Linked DNA regions of Elephas maximus indicus. The protein of the gene in region 3 purifies or fractionates together with the protein of the main gene of each other region. This does not show direct contact. Links are inferred from orthologs where the notes say so. Each region holds a gene or a part of one and is shown on either strand. Other genes may lie near its edges. The genes, in order: NHP2, DKC1 and NAF1.

Region 1 (10,489 bases), on a different chromosome or scaffold from region 3:
ATCATTGCAGCCACTGCGTCAATCCATCTCATTGCAGGTCTTCTTTTTTGCTGACCCTCTACTTTACCAAGCATGATAGGGACTGGCCCCTCCTGATAACATGTCCAAAGTATGTGAGAAAAAGTCTTGCCATCCCTGCTTCTAAGGGGTATTCTGGCTGTACTTCTTCCATGCTTGATTTCTTCATTCTTCTGGCAGTCCACAGTATATTCAATGTTCTTCACCAACACCATAATTCAAAGCTGTCAATTCTTCTTCAGTCTTCCTTATTCATTGTCTAACTTTCACATGCATGAGGCAATTGAAAATACCATGGTTTGGGTCAGGCACATCTTAGTCCTCAAAGTGACATCTTTGCTTTTTAACACCCTAAAGAGGTCTTTTGCAGCAGATTTGCCCAATGCAACGTGTTGTTTGATTTCTCGACTGCTACCTTCACGGGTGTTGATTGCGGATCCAAGTAAAATGAAATCCTTGACAACTTCAATATTTTCTCCATTTATCATGAGGTGGCTTACTGGTCCAGTTGTGATGATTTTTGTTTTCTTTGTATTGAAGTACAATGCATACTGAAGGCTGTAGTCTTTGACCTTCATCAGTAAGTGCTTCATGTTGATGAGAATGTGGAGAAATTGAAATCCTCCTCCATTGCTAATGGGAATGTAAAATGGTGCAGCTGCTGTGGAAAACAGACGGCTCCTCAAAAAGTCAAATATGGAATTACCATATGACCCAGCAATTTCACTCCTAGGTATATACTCAAGAGAATTGAAAGCAGGGACCCAAACACATGCAAGTATACCAAAACTCATTGCAGTACTATTGATAATAGCCAAAAGGTAGAAACAACCCAAGTGCCCAAAATCTGACAAATGGATAAAAAAAATTGTGGTATATCTATACCATGTAATAGAACATTATTTAGCCATAAAGAAATGAAGTTCTGATATATGCCAAGACATGAATGAAGCTTGAAAATATCATGCTAAGTGAAATAAGCCTGACACAAAAGGACAAATACTGTATGATCCCACTTATATAAAACATCTAGAATAGGCAAATGCATAGAGACAAAGCTTATTTATTAGTGGTTACTAGGGACTGGGGGGAAGAGGGAATGAATTATTACTGAAGGAATTCTGTGCTTCTGTTTGAGGTAATGTACAACATTTGAAAATTGACAGTGGTGATGGTAGTAAGACAGAGGTCCCCAGGCTGCAGACAATTCCACTGCCTCAAGCAGCTTTCTTGGCATGCCCCGTAGCTTTACACTAGAATCCTGGTTCCTTTGCTTGGTATGCTCCTTAACTTTACATTAAAATCCTGGTTTTCCTCTCCTTATCTGTTGACCTAAAACTAGAGGAAATTGGTGGAAACTGGTTGAGGTGCCATGTTGACATTCAGGATACATTTTTAGACCTTATACACAGTAACTTCCCTGCCTCTGGGTGTAGTTTAGCAGCCATTTTCTAAACATGAGATGCATGAAGTTATATGCAAACCTCATTGTGCCTTCACAGTTCGATTAAGAATGTTGTTGATATAATCCGTATGAACTTCCTACTTGTAAACCCATCCCCCTAACCCTCATTGAGCAATCTTGGTGGCAGCAGCCCCGACTGTCTCCTTTCCTTGTGCAACGAAATAAAGGCTCTTTTCTACTCTCCCACCTCAGTCTCTCATTTATTGGCTGAGACGAGTCACGCAGAGCAGAACCTGGGGTTTCCACCTGGCAACAGTAGCACAGCATGGCGAATGTAATTAATATTACTGACTTGTACACTTAAAAACAGTTAAAATGGCAAGCTTTTTTAATATACATTTCACCACAATAAAATTAAGAAACAAAACCAGTATTGGCAAGTGTTTAAGAGATACATTATTAGATTTTGTAATAGTTTTGGCACAGATGTAGAGAAATTGGAACCCTTATATGTTGCTGGTGGGAATGTAAAATGATGCAGCCACTGTGGAAAACAGTCTGGCAATTCTCAAAAAGTTAGACATCAATATACCATTTGACCCAGCAATTCCACTCCTAGAGAAATGAAAGCATATGTCCACATAGAAACTTGACCATGAGAGTTCATAACAATACTACTCACAATAGCCAAAAGATGAAACAACTCAAATGTCCACCAACTGGTGAATGGATAAAATCTGGTATATCCATACAATGGGATAATATTTGGCCATAAAAAGGAATGTAGTTCTGACACATGCTGCAACACAAATGAACCTTGAAAACATTATGCTGGCTGAAAGAAACCAGATACAAAAGGTTACATATTGTACGATTCCATTTATATGAAATGTTCAGAATATGTAAATCCATAGAAAATAGAAAGCAGATAGTGGTCGCTTAGGGCTGGGGGTGCTGGGGGGTTTGGAGGTGATAGCTAAAATTATGGGGTTTCTTTTTGAAGTGATGAAAATGTTCTAAATTTGATGGTTGCACAATTCTGTGAATATATTAAAGTCATTGAATTTTGCACTTTAAGTGGGCGAATTATACAGTATGTGAAGTATATTAAAAAAAAAAAATCCTCCTCAATTTTTTAAAAGATGGGACCTTAGTCCAGCAAGGCCTAACTTTTTCACTTTAAAGATAAGGCACTAAAGCCCAAAGAGGTTAAACGACTTGTACAAAGTCACTGGGCATTTAGGAGCCTGGGTGGTACAAACAATTTGTAATTGGCTGCTGACCCAAAGATTGGCGGTTCAAATCTGCCCAGAGGCTCTTGCAGAAAAAAGGCCCGGTGATGTGCTTCCATAAAGATTATAGCCAAGAAAACCCTATAGAGCAGTTCTACTCTGTAACACATGGAGTCGCCATGAGTTGAAGGCTGACTTGATGGCAGCTAATGACAACAACATTTGACATTGAGAACTCTGGTCTACTGCCCATGAGTCACTATGTTCTCACCCACTCTACGCTGCTTCATGGAAGCTCGTGTGACCATTGTCGTAGAGCAAAATCATAAAGCCTGGTTAAAATCCAAAGTAAAGAAAGAGTTTTATTGAGGGAATAGAGCCAGCTGCAGCACAAAAAAACACTGCAACAAGAAAACGTGGCGTCCCACCAAATGCAACAGGTGAATCCAAGGGGGAGAAATTGGAGGCACGAGATTATAGGGCTGGAGGAGGAAGTACAAAACACAATATTCTGATTGGTTTACACTGACTGAAGTCAGTCAAAGGTAAGACAAAGTAACGGATAATCTTTGACATTACTGGTTATGTGAATACACTATTGGCTAAAAGACATAACTGAAAGGCATGGGGTCAAGGGGGGGCTTCACGTTGGTAATAAAGCAATGACATGATGGAAAATTTCCGGAGTGGTCTGTTAAAAGTTACCTTGCTCAGAGCGTCAATCTCTAGAGGAGATTGGGAACAAAGAGCTTCCATCAGGGAACAAATGAGTTTCTGGGAGGTATTCACATTCTTTAACCTGACCAGAGAGAAACTTAATTCCTTAACAATAATAGGGGTTGGTTTCTAGGCAACAAAGGTAGAGTAAGGGGGAAAGGTTACTTTGAGCTCTTAGAGTTAGCTAGCTCAGTCATTTTACAAATACTGTCAGAAGCCTCTGATTTTATCCTTTATCACCATTCTAACAAAAAAAATTGGTAAAAATCATACAAACCACCTTGAATCTGGCACAGACCTCTGAAGCTGGCTTTAGAAATACACAGCGTGGTTTACTGAGGACACAAAAAAGCTGACACTTGTGACCTGGCCAGACTGAGGTTCCTACACTTTCACTATCAGCCACATTTCACAATCTTTGCACTAAAACCAACTCCCCTAGTATGGGGAGAGTCTGGGCTTGGAGACAAGCAGACCGTGGTTCAAATCTAGCTGTATGACCTGAACCGAGCTACTCATCTTTCTGAGCTTCAGTAAACTGTGAATAATAATGGTATTTTCAGTGAGCATTGAATGAGATATTACATGTAATATGCTGGGGACACAAACATTCATTTCCCTCTTCCTTCTGTGTAAGAGGAGCCCTGGCGGCGCAATGGTTAAGAGCTTGCCTGCCAACCAAAAGGTTGGCAGTTGGAATCCACAGGCTGCTCCTTGGAAACCCTATGGGGCAGTTCTACTCCTTCCTATAGAGTTGCTATGAGTCGTAATCGACTCTATGACAATGGGTTTGAGGCCTTGGTGAGGTCAAGGCCTCAACCAAAAAAATATGTTTGAATTAGGTTTCTCCAAGAAGAATTTCTCCATTGCTCCCCTGGACAGTTCATCATGCCCCATGCACTCATCTGGGGAGCTTCTCATCTTTGTGACCCTGGTACATTTTCATACCAGTCCTACAAGACTGAATCTGTTCATAGGAATGTCCCTTGGGAAGGAACAGAAAACCCTGCCATAGGTTCAAAGGAGACCACAAAGCTGGTCTCACAGCCTTGCAGACCACGTGGAGAGGCCTTCCCAGCGAGGAGCAGAGCTGCTGCTCCAGGATGGCCAGGGGAAGGGCATGGCAGGGGAGATTTTGGGGGTGGGAAATGGTTACTGCAAAGTTGTCAGCAGTGAGGCAAAAACTGAGAGTGACTTGTCAACCTAAGGATCGGGAAGAGGCCACCTCAGGAAATTCCAAAGCAAAAAAATTTTATAAGTACATTTTTAAGTTGGACAAGTTGGCTTAACTGACCTATGCTCCAACTCCATGGCCTCCCACACACTTCAAAAGTTCCACTTACTGACCTGTTACATCACCACAAAAATGGCAGGCCTACCACTGAATAATCGAAGGCAATTAATTGGTAGCAATTATCTAATTAATATCCAGCCAGTGTGTTCCAAGACAGGAGTCCCTGGGTGGTACAAAAGGTTAAGGCTATTAATCAAGCAGGCGACTAACCGAAAGGTGGTTCAAATCTACCCACCCAGAGGTGCCTTGAAAGAAAGGCCTGGAAATGTACTTCCAAAAACCAGTCATTAAAAACCCTATGGAGCACAGTTCTACTGACACGCATCTGGTCGCCAAGAATCCAAACTGACTTGATGGTAACTGGTTTGGATTTTTTGGTCTGGTTTCAAGACAAAGAACTATGTCAAAGATACCAAGATCCATACCAGCCCAGGCCTGCTCACCTGACCAGCGCCCCCATCCCTCTACAGATCCATTCAAATCAGTCTGTCTCCTCAGCGCTCTCCTGCACCCCTCTTGCCCCAAATCTCAGACCCAAATGCCTTTCCCTCCCTTGTCCTTCATACCCAGCTCTGTCTCAGCGATGTGTGAAATGCCAGGCACAGTGGTAAGAACTATTAAGAAAATAAAAGGGATAAGGGATGCAGGTGGGAGGCCGGAAGGGGCCACAGCTTTGGATAACGTGATCAGAGGATCCTGTCCTATGGGGTGACATTTGAGCAGATACCTGAAGGAAGACACGAAGCGAGCCCAGGGGCTATCTAGGGAAAAGCGGTCAACGAGTGGGGCCATTCCTTGCTCTGTATCTTCCTTCCACAGCCGTGCAACGCGGGCCATGAGAAAGCAAATGGAGAGACACTATGCAAAAACGGAAGAAACCATTAGCAGTGTCAGGCTTTACCATTAGCAGTGTCAGGCTTTACCTTTAGCACTCAGACACTACCCAGGACCAGCTCAGGAGCCGGGACCTGACCAGGCTCCGCACTGACAACCTGAAACTTCAGACCTAACTAAATTGGTCCGGAATCACGCTAGCACAGATTTCCAGTTCTTGCACTATGGTCGCACACCCCGCCCATCGGGCGTGGATCCCGTTCCGTCAGGCATGGCCACGCCCCCACAGGTACTTCCTCCTGTTCCCGCTCCCCGCGACCCCCACTCTCAGACAATAGGAGACAATAGGAAAGTGCAGGCTATTCCCGCCCCACCCCCTAGGCCCCGCCCCTCGCCTTAGTTCTTTTTTTTTTTCCCCCCCCGGGCCCGCCCCTAATCCGCTTTGTCCAATAGAAGTGGCCCCGCCTCCTAGGGCCAAGACTCCGCCTCCCTCTCCGTCAACGATTGGCCTGAACCTAGTTTCCCAATTGGTTGTAGCGCACGGCTGGCTTCCCGCACAGTGGGACGACCCGGAAGTGATTTCTGCAGAGGCTTGCCGCGTGGGTTCGCCTCCCGGGAGTCGGCGTGGGTATTGCCGTGGCTGCCGCTATGACCAAAATAAAGCCAGACCCGGACGGGCCGGAGGCTCCTGCAGAGGCGTCCTGTGGGGAACGCACGTACCATGAGCTGCTGGTCAACCTGAACCCAATCGCGCAGCCCCTGGCCTCCCGCCGCCTCACGCGGAAGCTTTACAAGTGCATCAAGAAAGGTGCAGCGGGCGCGGGGGCTGGCGGGGCGCGGGGGCGGTGCGAGACCCCCGACTGACTCTCTTGTCGTTGCAGCCGTGAAGCAGAAGCAGATTCGGCGCGGCGTGAAGGAGGTTCAGAAGTTTATCAACAAAGGCGAAAAAGGGTGAGACTCCCCTCTCCGCCACGTTTCGCGTTTCTAAACGGTGAACTTAGGTGCTCTGTAAAAGTCGAGTGGGCTGACTGTCCCCTATAATAAAGCAGTCGGTAAGTTTCACTCAGTATAGATACCGACATACCATTTGCAGGAGCTCAGAGGGACCCCATGAGCAAAGTGAACTCCAGAAGGAAGCTAATCGTATCATCTAATTCAATTCGGATAGACCCCTCTCCCTTCATTTAGCAACTAAATGTTTTTTGAGGGCTTTGTCAAGCACTCTGCCTATGGGGATGCAGTGACATTGGGCAAATAATCAGAACACAGTTACAGGTTGTGATAATCACGAAGGAAAAGTGCCGTGAGAAAGACTTCATTCCTCTGCTTCTTTTCTGGCATTTAACAGAATCTGAAATTTGTATTTACATTTTTATCTCCAGTGCCTCCCACGCAGTCCAGACCATAAGCTTTTTGAGAACAGGGATTCCCATTGCTTTATCCCCAGCGTCTGGCACACTGTAGATGCTCAAGAAATAAGGCTGGGGGATTTGGTGCACAGTTGGGTGTCAGACCTAGTTTGACCTGGGTCGCGGGGAGGTCGTGCATCAGGGAGTTTTATTTGAGCTGAACCCTGAAGATGCAGGGGCTGATGGAGGTATGAGGGGGAAGGAGGTGGTTCCAGCCACAAGAGGGGCCTATGAACAATGGTAAGGACTTTAGTTTTTGTACTTGGTCTTTAGGGACCACTGAAGGGTTAAAGCCAGGGAGTGACATTATATTTATGCCTTAACATTTCTCAATCCAAGAAAGAAAGGATTAGAGAGACAAGAGTAGATTTGGGAAAACTCTTGCTAGGAAGGTTACTGTAGTCCAGAAGAGGTGAGGGAGATGGAGAGAATGAAAGTGGGTGGATTTGAGAGGATTTAGGATATGGAGAGTGAATTGCAATTGACTTCTGGATTTTGGCTTGCCCAGCCAAATGGATGGAGGGCCCCATTCACTGAGAGCCAACAATGGAGGGCCAGGTTTATGTGGGAATATCTCAAGTTTGGTTTTAGACAGTTTTTTTTAGGTCCCTTTGAGATACACACCCCCAGCCCCCAACACCCCTCTGCAGCCCCCAGTGCTACTCAGCAGCACAGGTGGCCACGTGGGCTAGGAGCTTGAGAGGACCGGGCTGGAGAGAACAGATTTAGGAGTTGTCAGCACACAGTGTGGGGAACACCAACACTTAAAGGAAGAGTAGTAGAGGCCAAGATGCCAAAAGAAAACTAGAATACAGAAGCAGCATTTTCCTGAATAATCTTTTTAATTTCTTCAATTGCTTTATCTCTGTGTTCCTTGGCTTGTTTTGCGTATTGCCTTATTTCCTTCTTGATGTTTTGAATGGTTCTGTATATTAAGCTTTTGTATTCTGCCTCTGGTAATTCCAGGAAGGCACTTTCATCTAGAAGATCCCTTGATTCTTTGTTTTTAGAGCTTGTTGAGGTGATCATGCTGTTTCTTTATGTGACTTGATATTGACTGTTGTCTCTGAGCCATCTGTAAGTTATTTTATTAATTTTATGTTTGCTTACTGTGTCATAGCTTCTTGCTTTTTGTTTTGATATGCCCAAATGGGTTGCCTGAGTGAGCTAGCTTGATTATTTCTGCCTTTGGGGCTCTGACGTCCTCTTCCCAGATGGTTAGAGTTGTTATCAGGTGTATTAGTCTAGAAGTCCATTCACTTTTCTTGTATGACTTCAGCTCAGGTGTCCAGGTAGCTGATCATCAAGTGTGTTAGTATAGGCTCTGTCCTACAGTCTTAGAGGGGCAGGGATGATTGGTGTAGATACCAGTATCTGGTTGCAGCAGGGGGTCATGCTCTGAACAAGGCGGGGCTAAGAATCATTCCCCATGTGTCTCTGAGGAAAGCCTGTCCCTGTTCCCTAGAGTGTACAGGTGGGTGGGTTCTGCAGACGGACCATGGGCACCCAGTGTTCTTGGTTGTAAGGACTGGGAGGTACCAGTTATCCCTGGACCCCTGTCGCGGGTGGCTGGGTGACCTGAGTGGAGCTACCAGTCCTTAGGCCCCTGATGTGGGTAGGTGAGGACCCTGTTCAATAGGCAAAGCAATGTCAAACATCAAGCACCCACTTTGCCGCCGCACAGCTGAAACAGTTGGAGTTTGCCAACAAGGATCTATTCTCCTGAGATAGGCTCACCCAGGTCCATGCAGACGGGAAAGGTACTCAAAGTCCACAGACTGTTTATACTTGGACGGGAGCTGCTTCTGTCCTGAGCTCCCCCGGTTAGTGGAGCTGGCAAATTATCTTTTCCCCTAATTGCAAATTTATTCCTTCACCAAGGCCGGGAGGATGGCTCTAGGTGCTCAACAGGGCCTATCTCAGGCCCAGGGAATTCAGCTGCTGAAGCCAGCTGGGGGTCCGGGGCGGGGGGGGGTTAAATTATACGCAAGTACTTAGTTTTTGCCAAGAGTGCCGTTCTCCTCAGATTCCAGAGGTGTGAGCAGGCTGTGTGGCTGGCTGCTTCTCCCTGAGGAAACTGCGGCCGAGCCGCCGCTCTCGGGAATGGTTCCTGAGGGCTCCTCGCGATTCAGGTCCAATAACTTGGTAAACTGTCTCTTCCTCCCCCTGCCCCTCAGTTCGTTTTCTAAGCTTGCCTTTGATGCTCATGGCTCTTAGCTTGTCATAAATATACTCGTTTCACTTGTTTTTTTGGGTCTCTGTTGTAAAGAGGGCTCACCGAAGTGTCTATTCTGCTATCTTGGCTCCACCTCTCCAGAAACAGCATTTTGAACTGAGACTTCTTGTGTCTGCCTGTCCCTCTGTGTCTTCAGGCCTCCTGTGGCCCTTGCCCAGAGCCCCAAGGCAAACCTTGCTAGTCGAGAACCCCGAGGATTCTCTGGCATGCCCTTAGTGGTTCCCATCACTCATGGGACACAGCCCAGGCTTCTTAGCCTTGGTACTCAAGACCCTCTGGCAGGTATGGCCCCCATCTGTCTCTCCAGCTTTCTTTTCCACCCTACTACCCCTGGATTGCAAATCCATCCCAGGTGGCCAACAACCCCCGTGTTTTGTGGTTCCATTCTGCTTCTCAGCTTTGAATGCTTTCCGTATCTCCAGTGCCCCATCCAACCATGGTTGCAGACAGACATCATTCAACCTTCAGTTCAAGTGTCACCTCCTCAGGCTTTTTTTTTTTGCGTCTCCTAGGAGAGCTGAGCACTTATTCCTTGGGGCCCGCCCCCCCTCCCGCCACACCTTTCCTGTCCCAGCACTATACCAGTTGGTGGCATAAACGTTGCCATGTCAGCTTCTACTGCTTAGTCCTTCTTCAGCTTTCTTGGGTCAGACATACTTTTGAAACTGTGATTAAAAAAATAAAGACCATCTCTTCAGAAGAACACACTCAACCAAACACACAATTTTGCACCCACTTTCAGAGGCTACATTCCAATATTAGTAACTGGGCTTCTTGAAGGCAAGGTCATCTCATTTGCCTCTGTATCCCCAAGACCCAGTCCTGAGGCAGCACTTGATTCCAAAAGGAAGAACAGGCCAGAAATGACCGTGATTTCTTTCATTTTAGGATCATGGTTTTGGCGGGAGACACACTGCCCGTTGAGGTGTACTGCCACCTACCAGTTATGTGTGAGGACCGGAATTTGCCCTATGTCTATATTCCCTCTAAAACGGTAAGGAGCACATGACCCTGCCAACCCTGGTCAGCTCTGGGGGAGGGGTTGCCTAGTAGGAAAAAAAACACAAGCTCTGCAGTGAAGATAGGCCTGAGTCCATTCTTAGTTCTGCTGCTTCCTCATTGGGGTGCAGTAAGTTACCTCTCTGCACTTCTGTTTCTTTCCTGTGTGTGGACCAGATTAGGCCCTTCTCCATCACTGCCCTTCATCAGTTTGTGACTCCTGGCATACAGGTTGTGTGGCCTTCTTTCCCAAATAGCCCATCTTTTTCTCTGTAGGACCTGGGAGCAGCGGCTGGCTCCAAGCGCCCCACCTGCGTAATAATGGTCAAGCCCCATGAGGAGTAT
Region 2 (10,656 bases), on a different chromosome or scaffold from region 3:
CCAGATTCTGAGTGGAGGCCCCTCGGCCCTGGGCTTCACCTCCGCCTTCCAGGCGCACTGGGACACCAATTCTCCTCCCTCAGCTTTAAGTGCACCATTCACCTAGTCCAGCTGAGTGTTGACTCCACCCATAGAAACACCAGAGGCCATGGCTCCAACCTTTGAAATCTCTGAGATCCTGGCCATACCTTTTGAGACTGAGGCAGCTCCGCTTCTTGTGTTGTCCCTTCAGCTTCTGCTTCCTGGTTTCTTGGGCTTGGGCCTCATACCCATGTCTGCCCTGCTGGGCAAGTGTTCCAAAGCTCTGTAGCTCCACTAAATAAGCTCTCTCACTTAGTGGATCGGCTCCACCACTGTCTGGCGCTGGTCTCCTGGTTCTGCTGCTGCTGGCCCTCTGTGGCTGCTGCTCCTCTACCCATTCACAAAACCCACTGCCACATTTTAGGTATCCGTTTTTTTTGTTGTTGTTGTTGTTAGAGCAGCACTCCATTCTCTTGGTACCAAATTCTCAGTTATTTAGTACTGCCATAACAGAAATACCACAAGTAGATGGCTTTAACAAAGAGAAGTTTATTCTCTCAGTCTAGTAGGTTACAAGTCCAAACTCTGGGTGTCAGCTCCAGGGGATGGCTTTCTCTCTCTGACGGCTCTGGAGAAAAATTCGTTGTCATCAATCTTCCCTTGCTCTAGGAGTTTCTCAGCACAGGGACCCGGGCTCTGCTCCTGGTGCTGCTTCCTTGGTGGTATGCAGTCCCCCTGTCTCTCTGCTCACTTCTTTCTTTTATATATCAGAGATTGCCACAAGACACAATCCAATCCGGTAGATGGAGTCCTGCCGTAGATTGAGTCCTGCCGCACTAACACAATTGCCACCCATCCTCCCTCATTAACATCACAGAGGCAGGATTTACAACATACAGGAAAATCACACAATACGGGGAATCATGGCTCAGCCAAATTGGTGCACACATTTTTGGGGCGACAGAATTCAATCCATGACAGCTGGCATAGGGAACCCAAGGTGGAGAAGGGAGAGTGTTAGATCACCAGGTAGCCCTGAGGGATCAACTGAGGTTATGAAACTGGCATGGTCATGCTAGTCAGCTGCTTGGATGCAGACAGAATAGGGGGAGAGTTGAATTTAGGCAGGTTGTGGTTTTGCTAGTGAGGATGATGGAAGGAAAAGGGGACAAGGGTTTAGGCCAGGCAACTAGAGCTGGAAGAGCCAGGGGAAATCAGGTGAGCAAGGCAGCACAAATCCCTAGGCCTCTTTCAAACTCACCCCGCTGCAGTTGGAAAATGGGCCCACAGGTTCCACTACCCTCCCCGCCTCCACCTTTAGCACTGATTAACCCATGAAGGGAATTTATGAATGAAATCCCTATAATATTGCCCTGGTGAATGACTACTTGGAGGGAGACCTCTCATGTTCATGCTGTGTACCAACTTCCCAGGATTAAGACAAAGAATGCACAAAACATAGCAAAAATGCAATTACTTAATCACTGTGGTACTAATACAGTAATCAACAAAATAGTCTAGAAACAAGTTGTAGCATATGACAAGTTAAATACATATAGTGAACATTAGTGTCAGTCCTTGAAATCAGGGATGTTAGAAACACGCCTTTATCTTCTTTTTTTAAAAATCTTCTATAGCAACTGAATTTCTAACTCTGAGGCTTCATTCCACTGAGCTGTCTCAAAATATTCTCTTGGGCTTCCTTGATTTTGTCTCTTCTCTGCCCAGGACTTGTGCTCTGTAACCTTAGGCTCACTTCTCTCAACTCTAGCCAGACAACAGACATAAAACAACAGACATAAAACACCAAAAAAGCCCAGTGCCATCGAGTCAATTCCGACTCAAAGCGACCCCATAGGACAGAGTAGAACTGCCCCACAGAGTTTCCAAGGAGCGCAGACATACTGCCATAGAACTCTGCATTTCTAGAGCTATGTTCTGCCATTGTGTTGTACATAGTTTGCTTTCATGGGAAAACATTTTGGGGCAGGGGCATTGCCCCCAAAACACACACACACTCACCTTCTCTCCTTCTCCAAACTCAGGAAGCTCTCTTGAGGGCTTAGTCTTTTAAACACACACCAGAAAGTCTTATAGGTACCACAGCTTTCCTTTGGTATGCCCCACGTTTCTCCTGAGTCATCTAAGCAGAGAGCTGGGTACCCTCTTGAATGGAGGCCTGGAGGGGGAGGAGAAAGGAAAAAATACAGTGCTAAAAATCCATCAATGAATACCTCAACTTTATTCAGCCAAACATGTAGTAATGCATTATTACACAATAACGGGGAAGTAAAAAACTACTAAACTACTAAAGGAGCTGCTCTGAGGGAGAAAGATGTGGCAGTCTGCTTCAGTAAAGATTTAGTAGAACTGTCTTATACAGTTTCCAAAGCTGTATAAGACAGTCCTACTCTGTCACATGGGCTCGCTATGAGTTAGAATCGATTCAACAGCAGTGGGTTTAAAAACTGCTCATGGATAGGATGATACTGGGAAATTTGCATCATTATTATTACCTCAACATACATGCACATAATAGTAATATCATTATTATAATGACATGTGCAAATGACATATACAAATACCTGGAGTTAAAAAAACAAAAGGGAAGAACACGCTCGGCATTTCTCAAGCTGAAAGAACCGAAGAAAAAATTCAAGCCTTGAGTTGCAACAGTGAAGGATTCCATGGGGAAAATATTAAATGACACAGGAAGCATCAAAAGAAGATGGAAGGAATACACAGAGTCATTATATCAAGAAGAATTAGTCAATATTCAACCATTTCAAGAGGTGGCATATGATCAGGAACCGATGGTACTGAAGGAAGAAGTCCAAGCTGCCCTGAAGGCATTGGTGAAAAACAAGGCTCTAGGAATTGATGGAGTATCAATGGAGATGTTTCAACAAACTGGTGCAGCACTGGAGGTGCTCACTCGTCTATGCCAAGAAATATGGAAGACAGCTTCCTGGCCAACTGACGGGAAGAGATCCATATTTATGCCTATTTCCAAGAAAGGTGATCCAATCGAATGTGGAAATTATAGAACAATATCCTTAATATCACATGCAAGCAAAATTTTGCTGAAGATCATTCAAAAATAGCTACAGCAGTATATCAACAGGGAACTGCTAGAAATTCAGGCTGGTTTCAGAAGAGTACATGGAACCAGGGATATCATTGCTGATGTCAGAAGGATCCTGGCTGAAAGCAGAGAATGCCAGAAGGATGTTTTAAAAAACTAGTTTTTATTCACTATGCAAAGGCATTCGACTGTGTGGATCATAACAAACTACAGATAACACTGCAAAGAATGGGAATTCCAGAACACTTAATTGTGCTCATGAGGAACCTTTACGTAGATCAAGAGACAGTTGTTCGGACAGAACAAGGGGATACTGATTGGTTTAAAGTCAAGAAAGGTGTGAATCAGGGTTGTATTCTTTCACCATACCTATTTAATCTGTATGCTGAACAAATAATCTCAGAAGCTGGACTATATGAAGAAGAGTGGGGCTTCAGAATTGGAGGAAGACTCATTAACAACCTGTGTTATGCAGATGACACGACCTTGCTTGCTGAAAGTGAAGAGGCCTTGAAGCCTTCAGTATGGATTATGCCTGCAAATAAGTGGTGAAAGGCAAATAAAGAAACCAAAAATCCTCACAACTGGACCGATAAGCCACATCATGATAAATGGAGAAAAGATTGAAGTCCAGGATTTCATTTTACTTGGATCCACAATCAACAGCCATGGAAGCAGCAGTCAAGAAATCAAAACACACGTTGCATTGGGTAAATCTGCTGCAAAGGACCTCTTTAAAGTGTTGAAAACTAAAGATGTCACTTTGAAGACTAAGGTGTGCCTGACCCAAGCCATGATATGTTCAATCTCTTCATATGCATGTGAATTATGGTGTCAGCAAAGAATACTGAATATACCATGAACTGCCAAAAGAACGAACAAATCTGTCTTGGAAGCAGTACAACCAGAATGCTCCTTAGAAGCAAGGATGGTGAGACTGTGTCTTACATACTTTGGACATGTTGTCAGGAGGGATCAGTCCCCGGAGGACATCATGCTTGGTAAAGTAGAGGGTCAGTGAAAAAGAAGAAGACCCTCAACAAGATGGATTGACACAGTGGCTGCAACAATGGACTCAAGCATAGCAACAACTGTTAGTATGGTGAAGAACCAGGCAGTGTTTCATTGTGTGGTACACAGGGTCACTATGAATTGGAACTGGCTGGACAGCACCTAACAACAACAACAACATACCCAAAGTCTAGATAGAATAAAAGTTACGTGAGATAAAAACCAATTGTATTTTTAGAAAGCCACAGTTAAAAGTCAAATTTTTCCAATCTTCGGATGGTACAGGAGGAATGGAGAAAAAAAGCTCTCCTTTTTTATCAGCAGCAACTCATTGGAAAACAATGGCAAACGATTCTGTTTGCAATAGCAATAAAGTATTAAATAACTAGGGCTCAATCAATTGAGACATGAACAGGATGAACACGGGTTCTTAAACCTGTAAGAATCTTTGGAAAGTTTTGGACCATCTCCCACATAAGATGCACCTACGAATGTTGCATACAGCCTCGGGAGTTCCAAAAGTTCTGTCACCAAGTCTAGAGACGCTAGGTAAAATATTTACATGAGCAGATGGCGAGGTCTTTCTCCCCGCAGTGAACCACCAGGGATCCTTTGTTCTAATTGAGATATGCTAAAAGCGTAAAATACACGCCGGGAACGGAAGAGTTAGCACGGAAAAAAAGTGTGAACTATCTCTCCATAACGTGTTTGTATTGCCTACATTGTGAAATAAAATATTTTGGGTGAGTTTCATAAAACACAATATTAAAATTATTTCCACCTGTTCTTTTTACTTTTTTCCATGTAGCTGCTGAAATAATAAAAAGTACACATGTGATTCGCACTCTATTCCCATTGGACAGCGAGGCTCTAGAGGGATGGTACTAGCGAGCTGCAAAGGAACTTCCATTTCTGTGACTCCATTTCCTCATTTTTCAATCGGCGCTGATTCCGACACCTACCTTAAAGTGTCGGCATGAGGAAGCAAAGAACTAACATTTACAGGGCGCTCTGGCACTCAGAACCGTGATCAGGTGTTGGGCGCCCAGGTTAAAGCTAACAAAACTCGACTACCATCCCTACTCCATCCCGCGGCAACCTGGCTGGTTACGCGCGCTCCTGGCTCGGGCCGCGGAAGGCGGGGCGAAGCCCGAGGCGCCTGCGCGCACGCAATACCTGGGCCGAGCCAGCCAATAGAGTTGCTGTTGCTTCCCTCACGCATTCCGGCTCCGCCCCTTGGCCCCTGCCCCGCCTCGCAGCGCCGCGCTCCACGCACGGGGCGGAGCACACGTGGGCGGGCCCTAGCGGCGCGGCCTGACGGGACCGAGGCGACGGGAGTCGGGCGGTTTATCCCTTGGTTGTGGCCTCGGCGGCGTGCACGTTGTGTGGAGAACATGGCGGACGCCGAAGGTAAGGACTGCAAGCCGGCTGGCCGTGCGCGCCCTGGCGGAGCCAGCTCTGCGGGCTAGAGGAACCGGGGGAGCGGCGTCGGGGCCCGCGCTCGTTGCCCGCCCGCTCCCACCGCCGGGCCAGCCCCGTGGCTCCTGGGCCTCTGGCCGGACTTGTCTCCTGGCCCTGTGCTGCTCGGGTGAGGACCCGAGATCTAGAGGGCCCTGCGGTGACGTGGCTCCGCAGGGCCCGAGTCGCAACCGAAAGGTGTGGCGGCGCTGGCGGCCCCGAGGTGGCGGCAGTCCGGCGAGTACCTGTGTGACGCTGCCGCCAGCGCCGCGCTTTGGGGGAGAGGGGTGGTGGGGACGAGCGGGGGAGAAAGTAGCTGAGGGCCGCAGGCGCGGAAGTAACTATGTCCCAAGAAAGACCTAGATGCCAGAAACCTCTGGCCGGGTGGCTCTGCGCGTTTTTTAAGCCCCACCGCGACCACGTGGTGAACCGAAAGGGAAGCCAACACGTGCGACAGGCGCTACTTAGGTACCGACCGACCCCGTGCGGAGAAGTGTTTGGCTTTACAGACTTTGTTTTCTCCGGGAACTATACACTAAAAATCTATATCTTATCTGCCCTGATTTCTGATTTTATGTTATTCTAAACTTTGTCCCGTTTGGGGGAAAATTTTCAAATCTCTGTTTTTAGTTGTTTTGTTGAAGAAACATAAGAAGAAGAAGGACCGGAAGTCATTAGCAGAAGATGATGTAGCCGTAAGTGGGAATGTTTTACCTTAAGTTACTTACAGAGCAAGTTGTAGGAAATAACTTTCTAAAGGTTTCTTAGAAACAACAAAGCCCCTGAGAATTAAACCATCTTGCCCTGATCCCCAGCCACCCGGTGTTTCTCATACTGGACCACTGTTTACTAAACGGTTTTAGTCTTACCAACTGCTCTCCTGAAAATCCGTCTCTTCCTTACACTACCCACAGATACTCCAGGCCCTTTTCTCTTAAAGTATTTGAATCCATCCTAGTGGTATTTCACTTCCACTTCGGAGCCCCTGGTTCATTTCTTCTCTTCCTTTCATACAGAAGCATAGCTTTCTATAGTAGGTACAGATTTGTTTAAAAAATCAGGTGGGAAGTCTAACAGGGTGCATTTGTGTCTTGCCAAAGGAAATACAACATGCTGAAGAATTTCTTATAAAACCTGAATCCAAAGTGGCTCAGTTGGACACATCTCAGTGGCCCTTGTTATTAAAGGTACGTGGTGAAGATCATGCATCAGGCTTTTAGGTTATTTTTAAATGTTAAGCAGTTTATTTTGCCCATTAATCTGTGGGTGTTGCTACACATGCAAAAACATCTGACTGTCCCGTGATTTTATCCATGCTTGAGCCTGTCTGTACCCTCTGTCTTGCCCATTAAGTTTCTCTTCTTAAAATCAGGAATGCTTAATGCTAGCATTCCTGACTTCTAGGAAGTGCCAGATGATACAGTCTAAAGCACTGTTCCCCAAAGTATTCGAGATGAAGGATCAGGTCATTCTTTTAAATTTCTAATGCACCAAATACTGTTGTAAAATACAGTTAAAATGCCACAGCTATGTTAAATTGCTATCAAAGTTTCTAAATGCTTAGCTTTCAGTTTCTGTGCTCTTGTCTTCCAGACCTGTCCTAGTTCATGGGCCACCCTTGGAGTAGTACTGCTCTAGTGCTTAAGATCATAGGCTTTGAAGCCAGCCAGTTTGATTCAAGCTATTTGTGACCTTGGGCCAGTCACTCCACTCCTCATACTGTTTGTTCAAAATACCGCAGGAGGTAACCCGTGAAATGTGTTTAGCCACAGTGCCAGGCGTGTAACATGTCCTCTAGAGATTACTGTCTATTATTTTTGGTCTTAGCCCTGCTGGTGCAGTGGTTAAAGTGCTTGGGTGCTAAGAGAAAGGTGGGTGCTTCTAACCCACTAACTGCTTTGTATGAGAAAGATGTGGCAGCCTGTTTCTGTAAAGATTGCAGCCGTGGAAACCTTACTCTCTTCTATAGCGAGCTATGAGTCAGAATCGACTTGATGGCAGCGGGTTTGGTTTTTTGGGTTATTTTTGGCCTTAAATAGGGTAGTTCAGTAAAGAATCTAATTACGTTGTGTTTTTGTTTTACAATTAAACGGGCACGTGGTATAAAGTTAGTAGAAAAAGTTACTGAGACACCCCTTGACGAAGAGTTTTAATAAGCCAATTTGCTTGACATAAGGTTTGCTCATATCTTTCAATAGAGCTGAGTTTCTCTTTGGCCAGATACCTCTGCCATTTAAACATTTGGTTTTCTATTGGGGGGCTTGAGAATCAACTGGTAAGCTGGGTAGACAAGGTCCCTGCTGTCCTGGAACTAAGATCTAGGTGTGGGAGATAGTTAAAGAAGTGCTGTTTGTAAGAAATGCTATGACAGAGCTAAACAGGGTGACAGGACAGCTGTGTTTGAATTGGGGTTCTGTTTCACATGGGGGAGGTGGCCATAGATGGATCCTCAGAAGTGAAGAGACTTAAGCATACTTGTGGACAGTAGAGATAGGAGCATCTAAAGGGGGAACAAGTTGGTCATGTTTGAAAAATGTTGGCACCAAAAAAAAAAAAAACAAACACAGTGCCATCGAGTCGATTGCTACTCATAGCGGCCCTAGAGGACAGAGTAGAACTGTCCCAAGGAGCACCTAGTGGATTCAAACTGCCGACCCTTTGGTTAGCAGCTGTAGCACTTAACCACTACTCCACCAGGGTTTCCATGTTGCCACCAGCAATCCTAAATTCGTCTGTCTTTTCCCCTGAGGAGGTGAAGGTTCTTCCATAGCAGTACCTAGTCTGTACTGTAGTACTCCCAGGAGCCTCCACTTTTTAAAGCAGTGTCTTAAATCTATGAGTCATCAAATTTGTCTTGTTCTTATTAATACGGGTAGTTTTGCCAATAGTTACGGAGACCTAACAGTCTGTCACAGCAGATAATGAAAACATAGGAGCAAAACCCAAACTGGTGTTCTTTAAGGGTTACCCTATCGTTGTTGCTTGGTGCTGTTTCATATTCACTAATAGCTTAAAAACAGGGATTGTAAAGTTAAGTTGATCTTGTGTTGTATTATTGCCTTGTAGAATTTCGATAAGCTAAATGTAAGGACAACACACTATACTCCTCTTCCTTCTGGTTCAAATCCTCTCAAGAGGGAGATTGCCGACTATATTAGGTAAGTGTCTGGAGCAGACACTAGTCAAACTTTCGTTATTTCTCATCAGTTATTCAGTGTGGCCGTATCTTTCAATAGCACTTGTACCCATGGTGATTTTCTTTTTACTTTTCAGATTTGTTGTTTTATCAGAAGACAAGAGCAGGTGTTCTATGAATTTTTTTTTCCTTTACAGGACAGGTTTCATTAACCTTGACAAGCCTTCTAACCCCTCTTCCCATGAGGTGGTAGCCTGGATCCGGCGAATACTCCGTGTTGAGAAGACAGGACACAGCGGTACTCTGGATCCCAAGGTGACTGGCTGTCTGATCGTGTGCATAGAACGAGCCACCCGCTTGGTGAAATCACAACAGAGTGCAGGTATGCAAAGGAGGGAGGGGAGGAGTGGGGACTTTGAGATCAGAAGGCTCTTTGTTTTTCTTCCTGTTTGTCTATACTTTGGCTTTTGAAAACAATTTCTTGGGGATAAAAATTCCCAGAACAGGATATTCTTTTGGCTTTTCTGTGCCTTCTGTCTGTCCTCTGCCAGATCCTTGTGCAGCTGCCCTTTCTTGGAGCTTTAGTTACCAGAGAGACTCTCAACTCATCACTCCAGGTTTGAAAACAGAAAACTTAGTGGCTACACCTAACTACTGTTCTGTCATTTTTTAGGCAAAGAGTATGTGGGAATTGTCCGGCTGCACGATGCCATTGAAGGGGGGACCCAGCTTTCTAGGGTAAGTCTGCATTTGCAGAGAAGTCCCCCTTTGGCGACTTGGATCTTCTGAGCCTAGATGTGTCTGAAGACAAGTCAGCATTCCTTGTTGGCCTGTGTCTTCCGTGGAACTCTCACACCCTTTCAGAAATCTTCTGGCAGTGTCCCCTCTGAGGAGGGGTTCTGATCAGCACTGGGCTACTCAGTGTATTTGAAGAAGCAGAAAAAAACACGTTTGATTAAGTTCTTAAAATCACAAAATACACCCTTTGATCTTATTTGCGAGTTTGTGCAGTGAGTCTTTGTTTTGATTTGTGTGTACTTGTAGGCCCTAGAAACTCTGACAGGTGCCCTATTCCAGCGACCCCCACTTATTGCTGCAGTAAAGAGGCAACTCCGAGTCCGGACCATCTACGAGAGCAAAATGATAGAGTATGATCCTGAGAGAAGATTAGGTGGGTCATTACGCTTTTGAGAAACTGACGTGGCATAGACCACAAAGGAGTAGGAATGGCTTTGTGAGAATTCTGTGTATAAAAGCAGAGGCTGTTAATACGTTGTGTAATCACAGCCTGTGTTTGTCGTCTCCAGCATCAGCTGGAGTAGGACTTTGTAGGTTTGTCAACCAGTGATGTGTCTTCCTTGGAAAATAAGTGCCACTTTTCCTCTGTGTGTGTGTCTCTCAGGAATCTTTTGGGTGAGCTGTGAGGCTGGCACCTACATTCGTACACTTTGCGTGCACCTTGGTTTGTTACTGGGAGTTGGAGGTCAGATGCAAGAACTTCGGAGGGTTCGTTCTGGAGTTATGAGTGAAAAGGTACGCTGTTCTAGACATTTTAGAGCTGGTTCTTACTATCTTCCAACCCGTAGTAGAACTCTACCCGCTTAACATCCTGGAAAAGGCAGCTTCCAAAGTGTTGAGTTCAGCTCAGGGCAGCTTCCCTGATCTGTTAATTAAACTTTGGGACATTGAAACGGGCTAGGGAAAATGAATGGATAGAAAACATTTCTTTATTCATTTATTTCCCAGCCTACAGAAATGCCTGCCTAGATTTATTGTAAAATTTGCTGCTGTCGAAGTCGATTCTGACTCATAGTGACCCTGTAAGACACAGTAGAACTTCCGCACCATAAGGTTTCCAAGGAGCGCCTGGTGGATTCAAACTGCTGACACTTAACCACTGTGCCCCCAAGATCCATAAAGCAACAGTTAAACATCTGCAGAGGTC
Region 3 (11,449 bases):
AGATCAAGGCCAGGAGCCGACTGTGGAAGACCATCAATTGTTCCTATGCAAGTTCACGCTGAAGCTGAACAAAATTAAAACAAGTCTAGGAGAGCCAAAGTACAATCTTGAGCATATACCACCTGAATTTAGAGATCATCTCAAGAATAGATTTGACACACTTAACACTAATGACCAGATGAGTTATGGGATGACTTCAAGGACATCATAAATGAAGAAAGCTAAAGATTATTAAAAAGAGGAGACCAAAATGGATGTCAGAAGGGACTCTGAAACTTGCTTTTGAAGACAGACTACCTAAAGCTAATACAAGAAATGATAAAAAAGAGCTAAAGAAGATTTCAAAGGGTGGCTCAAGAAGACAAAGTAGTATAATGAAATGTGCAAAACCTGGGAAAACCAAAAGGGAAAAACACACTCAGCATTTCTCAAACTGAAAAAAAAAAAAAATTCAAGCCTCAAGTTACAACAGTGAAGGAGTTTATTGGCAAAATACTGAACGATGCAGGAAGCATCAAAAGAAGATGGAAAGGAATACAGAGTCACTGTTCCAAAAAGAACTGGTCAACATTCAACCTTTTGGGAGGCAGCATATGATCAAGAACTAATGGCACTAGAAAAGTCCAAGCTGTACTGAAGGCATCAGCAAAGAACAAGGTTCCAAGAATTGACAGAATACCAATCGAGATGTTTCAACAAACTGGTGCAACTCTGGAAGCACTCGCTGGTCTATGCCAAGCAATTTGGAAGACAGCTACCCGGCAAACCAACTAGCCAGATCCATATGCATACCCAGTCCAAAGAAAGGTGATATAACAGAATGCGGAAATTATCGAACAATATCATTAATATCAAATGGAAGTAGAATTTTGCTGATAATTCAAAAATGGCTGCAGCAGTACATCCACAGGGAACTGCCAGTAATTCAACCGGGATTCAGAAGAGGATGCGGAACAAGGAGTATCACTGCCGATGTCAGATGGATCCTGGCTGAAAGCAGACAGTACCAGAAAGATGTTTACCTGTGTTTTATTGACTATGCCAAGGCATTCAACTGTGTGGATCATAACAAATCATGGATAACACTGAGAGTAATAAGAATTCCAGAAAACTTAATTATGCTCACGAGGAACCTGTACATAGACCAAGAGGCAGTCATTCGAACATAACAAGGAGATACTGGGTGGTTTAAAGTCAGGAAAGGTGTGCATCAGGGTTGTATCCTTTCACCGTATTTGTTCAATCTGTATGCTGAACGAATAATCTGAGAAGCTGGACTATATCAAGAACAGGGCATCAGGATTGGAGGAAGACTCATTAACAACCTGCATTATGCAGATGACACAACCTTGCTTGCTGAAAGTGAAGATTTGAAGCACTCACTGATGAAGATCAAAGACCACGGCCTTCAGTATGGACTGTACCTCAACATAAAGAAAACAAAAATCCTCAAAACTGGACCGATAAGCAACACCACAATAAACAGAGAAAAGACTGAAGTTGTTAAGAATTTCATTTTGCTTGGATCCACAATCAATATCCACAAGCAGTAGTCAAGAAACTAAACGATGTATTCCACTGGACAAATATACTGCAAAAGACTTTTTAAATTGTTAAAAATTAAAGATGTCACCTTGAGGACTAAAGTTTCAATTGCCTCATATGCCTGCGAAGACTGAAGAACTGATGCCTTTGAATTACAGTGTGGGCAAAGAATATTGAGTATACCAAGGACTGCCAGAAGAACAAACCATCTGTCTTGGAAAAAGTAGAGCCAGAATGCTCCTTACAAGCAAAGACAGTGAGACTTCATCTCACTTACTTTGGATGTTTTATCAGGAGGGACCAAAAAGGACATCATGGTTGGTAATGCAGAGGGTCAGGAAAAAAGAGGAAGACTCTCAACGAGACGGACTGGCAGAGAGTGGCTGCAACAGTGGGCTCAAACATAGCAATAACTGTGAGGATGACACAGGAACATAGCTATAATTGTGAGGATGACACAGGACTGGGCAGTTTCCTTCTGTTGTACGTAGGGTCGCTGAGTCAGAGCGGACTAGGGTCGCTGAGTCGGAACGGACTGGATGGCACCTAACAACAACTGTTGACCTATTATTAAGAGCCTGATGAGTGTAACTTTAAAATACTTAATCAAGGGAACCATGTGCTAGTACATTTCCCAACTATTTCCACACTTGGCCCTGTTCCACTCTTGCTTCTCTGCTTGCACTCTTTTCTAAATTCAAATCTCTCTTCACAGAGCAAAACTTATAAGAATGTTAACTGAGCATGTCATTCCCTGCTTAAAACTAATCAATAGTTTGCTTTTCTAGCACTTAGAATTAAACCTTTAAGATGGCTACAGGACCCTACAGGGTCAGCCTCCCTGTTACTTTCTCAGCCCCTTGCTTGTTACTTCATAATGATTTGCACCAACTCTGATCACTGTATTCATTAAACATGTTTACTTTTATATTTCTTCCCTCCCACTGGAATGCATGGCAGGGGTTGTGTCTATCTTGTTCACCTATTCAGTAGCCCGCAGAACACACTCAAATATTTGGAGACAATGTTCAGGGTTGTTTAAGAGCATCCTATATGCTGCAGTTTTGTCACAGACATTTGCATTAAAAACACAAGGGAAAAAAGCTCCTATAAAAGGTTCCTTTTTGTACTGTTAAAAAGCAAGGGTGTCACTTTAAGGGCTAAGGTGAGCCTGACTCGAGCCATGGTGTTTTCAATTGCCTCATCTGCATGTGAAAGCTGGACAATGAATAAGGAAGAAGAACTGATGCCTATGAATTATGGTGTTGGTGAATAATATTGAATATACCACGGACTGCCAAAAGAACAAACAAATCTATCTTGGAAAAAGGACAGCCAAAATGCTCCTTAAAAGCAAGGATGGAGAGACTTCATCTCACATACTTTGGACTATCAGGATGGACCAGTCCCTGGAGAAGGACATCATGCTTGGTACAGCAGAAGGTCTGCGAAAAAAGGAAGACCCTCGACAGGATGGGGGGACACAGTGGCTGCAACAAAGGGTTTAAGCACAACAATTGTGAAGATAGCGCAGGATGGACAGTGTTTCCTTCTGTTTGTTGTACACGTGGTCGCTATGAGTTGGAACCTACTCAAAGGTACCTAACAACAATAAAAGGTGTGCAGAGCATAAAACAATACTAAAGAACAACAATTAGCTAACTTCAAGAGCATGTGCTCCCCACAAAGATTCTGCAAGTTAGCAATTGGCAAGCGCCAACCTGAAGCACACAAAATAATCCTTTTCCTCACCCTCAATTCATCCAGCTCAAAAACAGGGGGATAATATACACACACACGCTAAACCTAATGAAACAATTCAGACCTGACACACGACTCAAAGTTACAAACTCAACATAAGAGAACAGTTATGCAAATAATTTAATATCCTAAGACTTTCTATATTCTAATTAAAGGCACGGCCTAGACACTGGCCCTTTCAGACGGCTGACTTTAGGGAAGTAGCGCGAACAGCTTATTGCACTGAAGATCCACAACGCGATGTCCAGAGGCATGGGCGGTCCCGGCTACAGGTCAACACGCGAGTCCTGAGCATCGGCGGCCTCCCCGCCGGCCCACACCCACTCGGGCGCCCTCTCGGCCCCAGGCCCCGGCTCCTCCCGCCCCTCATAGAAGCCCTCTTTCCGCAGCTCGGCGGCCGACAGGCACCAACCTGTCCGAGTCCGAGTCCGTGTCCGAGTCCGAGGTCTCCACGGAGTCCTGGGTCCGCGCCGGCTCGGCCGCAGCCAGCCCCGCGACGCAGTTCCCGCCGGGGGGCGCTTCTGGCTCCCACTGCGGGGCCCGGCTCCCGCCGGCGGCGACGGCGCTCACCGCGGGCTCAGCCGCCCGTTCCCCGGCGGGCCGAACCTTCGCTGCCTGCCCGGAGTCCGGAGACGCCTCACCCGGCTGCAGTGGCGGCGCCGTCAGACCTTCGCCAACCGCAAGGCCGCCGCCATTGAATTTCAGAGTCTCCAGCTGAGCGGCGGCGGCTTCCACCACCTCCATTTCCCTGCGTCAGAGCCCGACTGGGGCTCACGCTCTGGGACCCCGGAAAGCTCGTGGTTCCCTCCGGAGACGGTAAAATAACCTCAGCGGCCGACGCACCAGCGCCTGACCAACTTCCCGCGCTTATGGGTAACTACACGCGGACCAGTCCGGAAGCACAATGTCGCGGTGTGCGCAGTGGCACTTCCGGGGAAGCCTGTGACGTAAGGGGACGCGACGGCACTCGCGGGGCGGGAGCGAGGCGGGGCATGGGCGGGGCGGGGGCGGGCGGGGCGGGGCGGGGGCGGGCGGGGCGGGGCGGGGGCGGGCGGGGCGGGGCGGGGGCGGGGCGGGGGCGGGGACGGACCTCCGGGACCTCTGGACTGAGAGCTGGGAAGGCATTTAGTTCCTGGCTCTCTTAACAACTTCGGGCCTTGTCTTCCTATCCCACTCCCAGAGGCTGGTATTTCATTTTGCTGAATCAGGATCATTGGTACTCGAACCACGGACAAGGAGGAGGGATTATGGGGCAGGGGAGATGCCTGCAAGTCCCAGGCTCTGTACATCAGAAACTTGTGCCAGAAAGCCTTAAAAAAAAGACACTTTTAGTAACTTCATTGTAGTTGAACTTAGACAAGTACATGGATAGCAAAAACATTGACCATCTCAAAAAACTGACAGCTATGCAAATTTTTGTTTCCCTAAAAGAACTCTAAAGAGAGAAGTAATGGAGAATGGAATTTTGCTGCTTGTTGATATTTTGATGATGTCTGGTCTATTTGACACTGCTTCATAGAATGGTGACATGATGCTAAAACGTAGTAACAGACATTTGGGTTGTTTCCACCTTTTGGAAGGTCCCTAGGTGGCACAGTTTGCACTAGACTGCTCAAGGTTGGAGGTTCAAACCCACCCAGCCATACGTGGAAGAAAAGGCCCTGCAATCTGCTTCTGTTAAGATTACAGCCAAAATACAAAAATCAGTTCGATTCCCTACAACAACAAAAAGAATATCGAAGAGGAAATCACCAAATCAATACCATTAACAGTAGCCTCCAAGAAGATAAAATACTTAGGAATAAATCTTACCAGAGATGTAAAAGATTTATACAAAGGAAACTATAAAACACTTCTGTAAGAAACCAAAAAAGAGACATACATAAGTGGAAAAACATACCTTGTTCATGGATAGGAAGACTTAACATTGTAAAAATGTCTGTTCTACCAAAAGCAATCTACATTTAATGCAATTCTGATCCAAATTCCAATGACATTTTTTAATGAGATGGAGAAACAAATCATCAACTTCGTATGGAAGGGAAAGAGGCCCCAGATAAGTAAAGCATTACTGAAAAAGAAGAACAAAGTGAGAGGTCTCACTCTACCTGATTTTAGAACATATTACACAGCCACAGTAGTCAAAACAGCCTGGTACTGGTACAACAACAGTTACATAGACCAATGGAACAGAATTGAGAATCCAGACATAAATCCATTCACATATGAGCAGTTGATATTTGACAAAGGCCCCAAATCAGTTAAATGGCAAAAAGACAGTCTTTTTAACAAATGATGCTGGCATAACTGGATATCCATCTGCAAAAAGATAAAAAAAAGACCCATACCTCACACCATGCACAAAACGAACTCAAAATGGATCAAAGACCTAAATATAAAATCTAAAATGATAAAGATCATGAAAGGAAAAATAGGGACAATGTTAGGAGCCCTAATACATGGCATAAACAGTATGCAAAACATTACTAACAATGCAGAAGAAAAAGTAGATAACTGGGAGCTACTACAAATCAAATACCTATGCTTATCCAAAGACTTCACCAAAAGAGTAAAAAGATTACCTACAGACTGGGAAAAAGTTTTTAGCTGTGACCTTTCTGATCAGCACCTGATCTCTAAAATCTACATGATACTGCAAAAACTCAACTACAAAAAGACAAATAACCCAATTAAAAAATGGGCAAAAGATATGAATAGACACTTCACTAAAGAAGACACTCAGGTAACTAACAGATACATGAGCAAATGCTCACGATCATTAGCCATGAGAGAAATGCGAATCACAACTACAATGAGATTCCATCTCACTTCAACAAGGCTGACATTAATCCAAAAAACACAAAATAATAAAGGTAGGAGAGGTTGTGGAGAGACTGGAACACTTAGACACTGCTGGTGGGAATGTCGAATGGTACGACCACTTTGGAAATTGATTTGGTGCTTCCTTAAAAAGCTAGAAATAGAACTACCATACGATCCAGCAATCCCACTCCTTGGAATATATCCTAAAGAAATAAGACCCTTTACACAGATATATGCATACCCATGTTCACTGCAGCACTGTTGACTATAGCAAAAAGGTGAAACCGAATAAGATGCCCATCAATGGATGAATCTCGTCCCCGTTGCCGTCGAGTGTTTGGTTAGCAGCCATAGCATTTAACCACTATGCCACCAGGGTTTCCCAATGGATGCATGGATAAATAAATTATGGTCTATTCACACAATGGAACAGTGATGAACCTGTGAAACATTTCATAACATGGAGGAATCTGGAAGGCATTATGCTGAGTGAAATTAGTCAGTTGCAAAAGGTCAAATATTGTATAAGACCAGTATTATAAGAACTCAAGAAATAGTTTCAACAGAGAAGAAAATATTCTTTGATGGTTAGAAGAGGGGGTGGGAGGGAAGGAGAGGGGCATTCTCCAATTTGTAGATAAGAACTACTTCGGGTGACAGGAAAGACAACACACAACACAGGAGAGGTCAGCACAACTGGACTAAACCAAAAGCAAAGAAGTTTTGGAATAAACCGAATGCTTCGAAGACCAGTGTAGCAGGGTGGGGGTTTGGGGACTATGGTCTCAGGGGACATCTAAGTCAATTGGCATAGTAAAATCTATTAAGAAAACATTCTGCATCCCACTTGGGAGAGTGGCGTATGAGGTCTTAAACGCTAACAAGTGGCCATCTAAGTTGCATCAATTGGCCTCAACCTACTTGGAGCAAAGGAGAATGAAGAATATCAAGGACACAAGGTAATTACAAGCCCAAGAGACAGAAAGGGCCACGTAAACCAGCAACTATGTCAGCCTGAGACCAGAAGAACTAGATTGTGCCTGGCCACAACCAATGACAGGCCTGACAGGGAACACAACAGAGAACTCCTGAGGGAGCAGGAGAGCAGTGGGATGTAGACCCCAAATTCTCGTAAAAAGACCAGACTTAATGTTCTGACTGATACCCCGGTGGTCATGGCCCCCAGACCTTCTGTTAGTCCAGGGCAGCAACCATTCCCAAAGCCAACTCTTCAGACAGGGATTTTACTAGACAATGGGATAGAAAAAGATGCTGGTGAAGAATGAGCTTCTTGGATCAAGTAGACACTTGAGGCTATGTTGACCTCTCCTCTCTGGAGGGGAGATAAGAAGGAAGAGGGGGTTAGAAGCTAGTGGAATGGAGACAAAAAGAGAGAGTGGAGGGAAGAAGTGGGCCATCTCATTGGGGGAAAGCAATTAGGAGTATATAGTAAGGTGTATATAAATTTTTGTATGAGAGGCTGACTGGATTTGTACACTTTCACTTAAAGCACAATTAAAAAATAAATAAATTATTTTTTAACATTATAACAACAACAACAAAAAAAAGATTACAGCCAAGAAAACCTGATGAAGCAGTTCTACTCTGTAATACATGGGGTTGTCATGAGTCTACACTGACTTGATGGCAATTAACAACAGCAACCACTTTTTGGATATTATGAATAATGCTGATATGAACATAAATGTACAAGTTTTTGTGTGGACATATGTTTTCATTTATCTTGGATATGTACCTAGAAGAGAAGTTGTTAGGTCCTGTGGCAAAGCTATGTTTAACTTTTTGAGGAACTGCCAAACTGTTTTCCATTGTGGCTGCACAGTGTATTATCTTACCGGCCATGTGTGAGGGTTCCAATTTCTCCACTATTGTTTGTTGTTTTGATTATGGCCACCTTAGTGGATGTGAATATCTATCTCATCATGATTTTGATTTAAGACGTTAAATACATTGCTTTATGTGTTTATTGAACATTTGTATGTCTACTTTGGAGAACTGTCTATTCTAATCCTTTCCTCATTTGGTTATTTGTCTTTTTATTTTTCAGTTATAAGATTTTCTTAAATATATTCTGATACTATTCCCTTATCAGGCATATGATTTGCAAATATTTTCTCCCATTCTGTGTGTTGCTTTGCTTAGTATAATTTTAAAATACAAGGTTCCAGGAGGAAAATCAGCAAAAGACCCATTTGAATTAACATCAAAATCTAATTCATTAACACACTTGATATCTAAGGGGAGAAAGAGGTACAGAAGGCCAGAAGAGACTTAAAATTTGAGAACCTACCATGTGCCAGGAATTTCACATGTTGTCTCATTTGGTCCTCACAGAAAGTCTGCAAAGTAGACTCTCTTATCCTCATTTCACAGGTAAGGAAACCGAGGCTTAGACAGATTACATGGCATCCAGTCCAAACTCACTGTGCCTATTTAGGGCAAAACAGGGGTTCAACTGTGTGTGCCGGACTCTTCATCTTGTGCCAGTTCTATTCTCAGATTACCTCTCTTGTTTTCTAAACATTCCTAAATTTGGGCAGAATAAAAACTTTCAGATGATTACCATTTGCCTTTAATGAGAAGATTCTGTGCAATGCTTCAGCTCCTTCCAGGGAAAGCTGCTACATTAATGCCTCATACGCATTCACTGGGCATGTACTAAATATCCCCCAAAGACATGTTGCAGATCGACAGGCTTTTACTGATGTTAGGCTTTGCATTTCCATCTCAACGTTTAGCTATTGCATAAAGCAGAAAAGCTTGTCGTTTTTAATGTGTTTAAAATATTTTCAGGTGCTAGTTATTTTACTCATGCATAATCAAGACTGTGTCAGGTGCTAGATCCGATATGCAGAGTCATTGATTACCATAGGAGATACTTTTGTACTTTTTATGCTCCTGAGGGAGACAGGAGTGAGGCATGTGTTGATTGAAATTGTCTCCTGGGAACATTTCATTAAAATACGTATCTGACTCCAGGTCTTTTGCCAAGTGCTTTTTTTCTCCTACATCATCTTATAAAATTAGAAATGAATAAATTGAATGATCATAAGAAGTAACAGTATTCAAGCCTAGATCTATGTGACCCAAAAACCTGTGGAATTTTTTTCTACACCTCTACACCAGTGAATAATGGAATGACAACATGCAGTTTACTTACTTTTGTCTATATTCCATGTCGTCAAAACTACTGATTGAAAAGTGAGTAAAGGCAATTAAGCAAAATATTGTGCTTTTCCCACATATGAAGGAAAAAAAAAAACTGTGATGAATTTTTTAAAAACCAGATTTTGGGGGGCGCCAAGAAGGCAGTGCTAGGAGCACAGTGCATGGTTGGACCTGAGGTCCCTGCACTTGAGGTGCTCCCAGACCAAGGGAAGACAGATGAGAAGAACCTTCTTCCAGAGCTGACAGAGAGAGAAAGCCTTTCCATGAAGCTGGCACCCTGAATTTGGACTTCTAACCTACTAGACTGTGAGAAAATAAATTTCCTTTGTTAAAGCCAAAAAAAACAAATTTTGACTAGCTGTTTGGTTATAACATCATCTTTAGTCCTGCCACTCTCACCTGCTTTTGAAATTTTTGTTTATTTTTATCTTGAACTTCAGTGTTTTCTGAATTAAAAAAAAAAAAAATGAAATGAATGAGCATCAATGTCAAATTCAGTTTAACTCGTTCCATTCATTTTCTTGTATATTTCCCTTTGGAAGACTATTTTGTAAACTGTTTTATCTGTCCTATGACATGCACCTCCACTAATACCCAGTAGATGTTAATAGCTGCTGGTTATGGAGCATGTATATGTTGGTGCATGTCAAAATTTATCCCTAATTCTCCCTTTATGTCTGTATTATTGTCCCCATTAAGTGTGTAAGAGACTGAGGTGTGGAGAGAGTCAGTGACTTCACCATGGCCATGAGTGGTGTTCTGATCCTGAGATGTCCAAGCCCAAAGCTCATGGTCTTTTTTGCTGTATACTTCCCACTGCATTTTATGAGCAGTGCGTTTATCCAAAGGCATAACAGATGGCATGGGACAACCACAGAAGTAAGGCACAGGCAGAAGCTCCAGGGTGCCCTCTGCCATTTGTTTTAAGCAGTGACAACAAGCATCATCTATTACAGCCACAGCGTTTTAATATTTAGCCACTAAAATCGTATCAAAACCTTTCCTGGTGTTAGATTATTTTCGTAGCACCAAAACATACTTTGTAGACACATTGGGGTGTGCCTGAAATGCAGTCCCTGCCTTCAGTGAGTGGTTTGTTGAAAAGACAAGCAATGTTTTTTATGCAACAAACTCTCTAAGCTTCGCCACACTCATTTGCCAAATGAAGAAATTAGACTAAATACCTAAGTAGGAGCCCCAGTGGTGCAATGGTAAAGGGCTCAGCTGCGGACCAAAAGATTGACGGTTCAAAGCCACCCAGTGGATCTGAGGGAGAAAGACCTGGTGATCTGCTTCTGCAAATATTACAGCCTAGAAAACCCACTGGCCAGTTCTACTGTGTCACGTGGTGTCACTTGACAGCACCCAACAACTACAATACTTAAGGTAGATATCAGAGCCAAAAAATTGTGATTCTATTTAAGTGAATCCAGGAATGAGTTACCAGGAAGGGAAAATTTGCTCAGAGATTGTTTGCTGATAAAACGATCCACCTACCACAAACCCTAGAAAAAAAAGTATCCTGAACAATAGAGAGGGATGTGGTATAGCAAAGCAAGAGAGAAGCCGGTACCACACCAGGACAGACTGGGGAAAGATTCAGAAGTTGGAACTTGTGTCCCAAGGGAAACAAATCTGGCTGAAACAGAATGTAAGACTAAAGAAGACTAGAAGAAAAGGGGGATATGGAGGAGTTGACTACGAGAATGCATCTAATCTTCAAAATGGATAATGTTTGCAATTGGGAAGGAAAAAATGCATTTGGAAGTATATACGGATATGAATAAAGTTGGGGAGAGGAGAGCAAATTGACAAAACTAACAAACTCTTCTTGCAAGGTGAAATTCAGATCCAGTGCAGAGTATACTAAGCATGGGATCAGGCTAGAAGGTTGTGGCGAGGATTAGGAAAATTGACAAAATTAAGTCTTTTCTGTAAAAGGTTTGAAATTGGAAAATAGCCAATGAGAAAGTGCTAATGCAAATGAAAACATACAACAATAACAATTGCTGTCATTAGGTGCCATTGAGTCAGCTCTGATTCATAGCATCATATTGACCCTATATATAATAGAACAAAATGTTGCCTGGTCCTGCGCCATCCTCACAATAACAATAAGACAATCTTATTC

What was found.
Region 1: the proteins of NAF1 (region 3) and NHP2 purify together in Homo sapiens (affinity purification with western blotting; 3 studies listed by BioGRID and IntAct, with this or other methods). This does not show direct contact. The link is inferred for Elephas maximus indicus from reciprocal best matches to the Homo sapiens genes NAF1 and NHP2.
Region 2: the proteins of NAF1 (region 3) and DKC1 purify together in Homo sapiens (co-immunoprecipitation; 7 studies listed by BioGRID and IntAct, counting the BioPlex papers as one, with this or other methods). This does not show direct contact. The link is inferred for Elephas maximus indicus from reciprocal best matches to the Homo sapiens genes NAF1 and DKC1.

The regions. Positions count from the first base shown.
Region 1 is NC_064820.1:198,294,404-198,304,892, reverse strand, and holds the start of NHP2 (H/ACA ribonucleoprotein complex subunit 2), read left to right. Parts: upstream 1-6,039; 5' UTR 6,040-6,148; coding exon 6,149-6,308; intron 6,309-6,381; coding exon 6,382-6,451; intron 6,452-10,033; coding exon 10,034-10,139; intron 10,140-10,420; coding exon 10,421-10,489. UniProt on the Homo sapiens protein: Required for ribosome biogenesis and telomere maintenance. Part of the H/ACA small nucleolar ribonucleoprotein (H/ACA snoRNP) complex, which catalyzes pseudouridylation of rRNA.
Region 2 is NC_064846.1:1,273,026-1,283,681, reverse strand, and holds the start of DKC1 (H/ACA ribonucleoprotein complex subunit DKC1), read left to right. Parts: upstream 1-5,408; 5' UTR 5,409-5,511; coding exon 5,512-5,527; intron 5,528-6,205; coding exon 6,206-6,270; intron 6,271-6,675; coding exon 6,676-6,762; intron 6,763-8,641; coding exon 8,642-8,733; intron 8,734-8,908; coding exon 8,909-9,093; intron 9,094-9,384; coding exon 9,385-9,449; intron 9,450-9,755; coding exon 9,756-9,882; intron 9,883-10,113; coding exon 10,114-10,244; intron 10,245-10,334; exon of another isoform or gene 10,335-10,466; intron 10,467-10,656.
Region 3 is NC_064831.1:14,547,617-14,559,065, reverse strand, and holds the start of NAF1 (H/ACA ribonucleoprotein complex non-core subunit NAF1), read right to left. Parts: upstream 4,235-11,449; 5' UTR 4,051-4,234; coding exon 3,719-4,050; intron 1-3,718. UniProt on the Homo sapiens protein: RNA-binding protein required for the maturation of box H/ACA snoRNPs complex and ribosome biogenesis.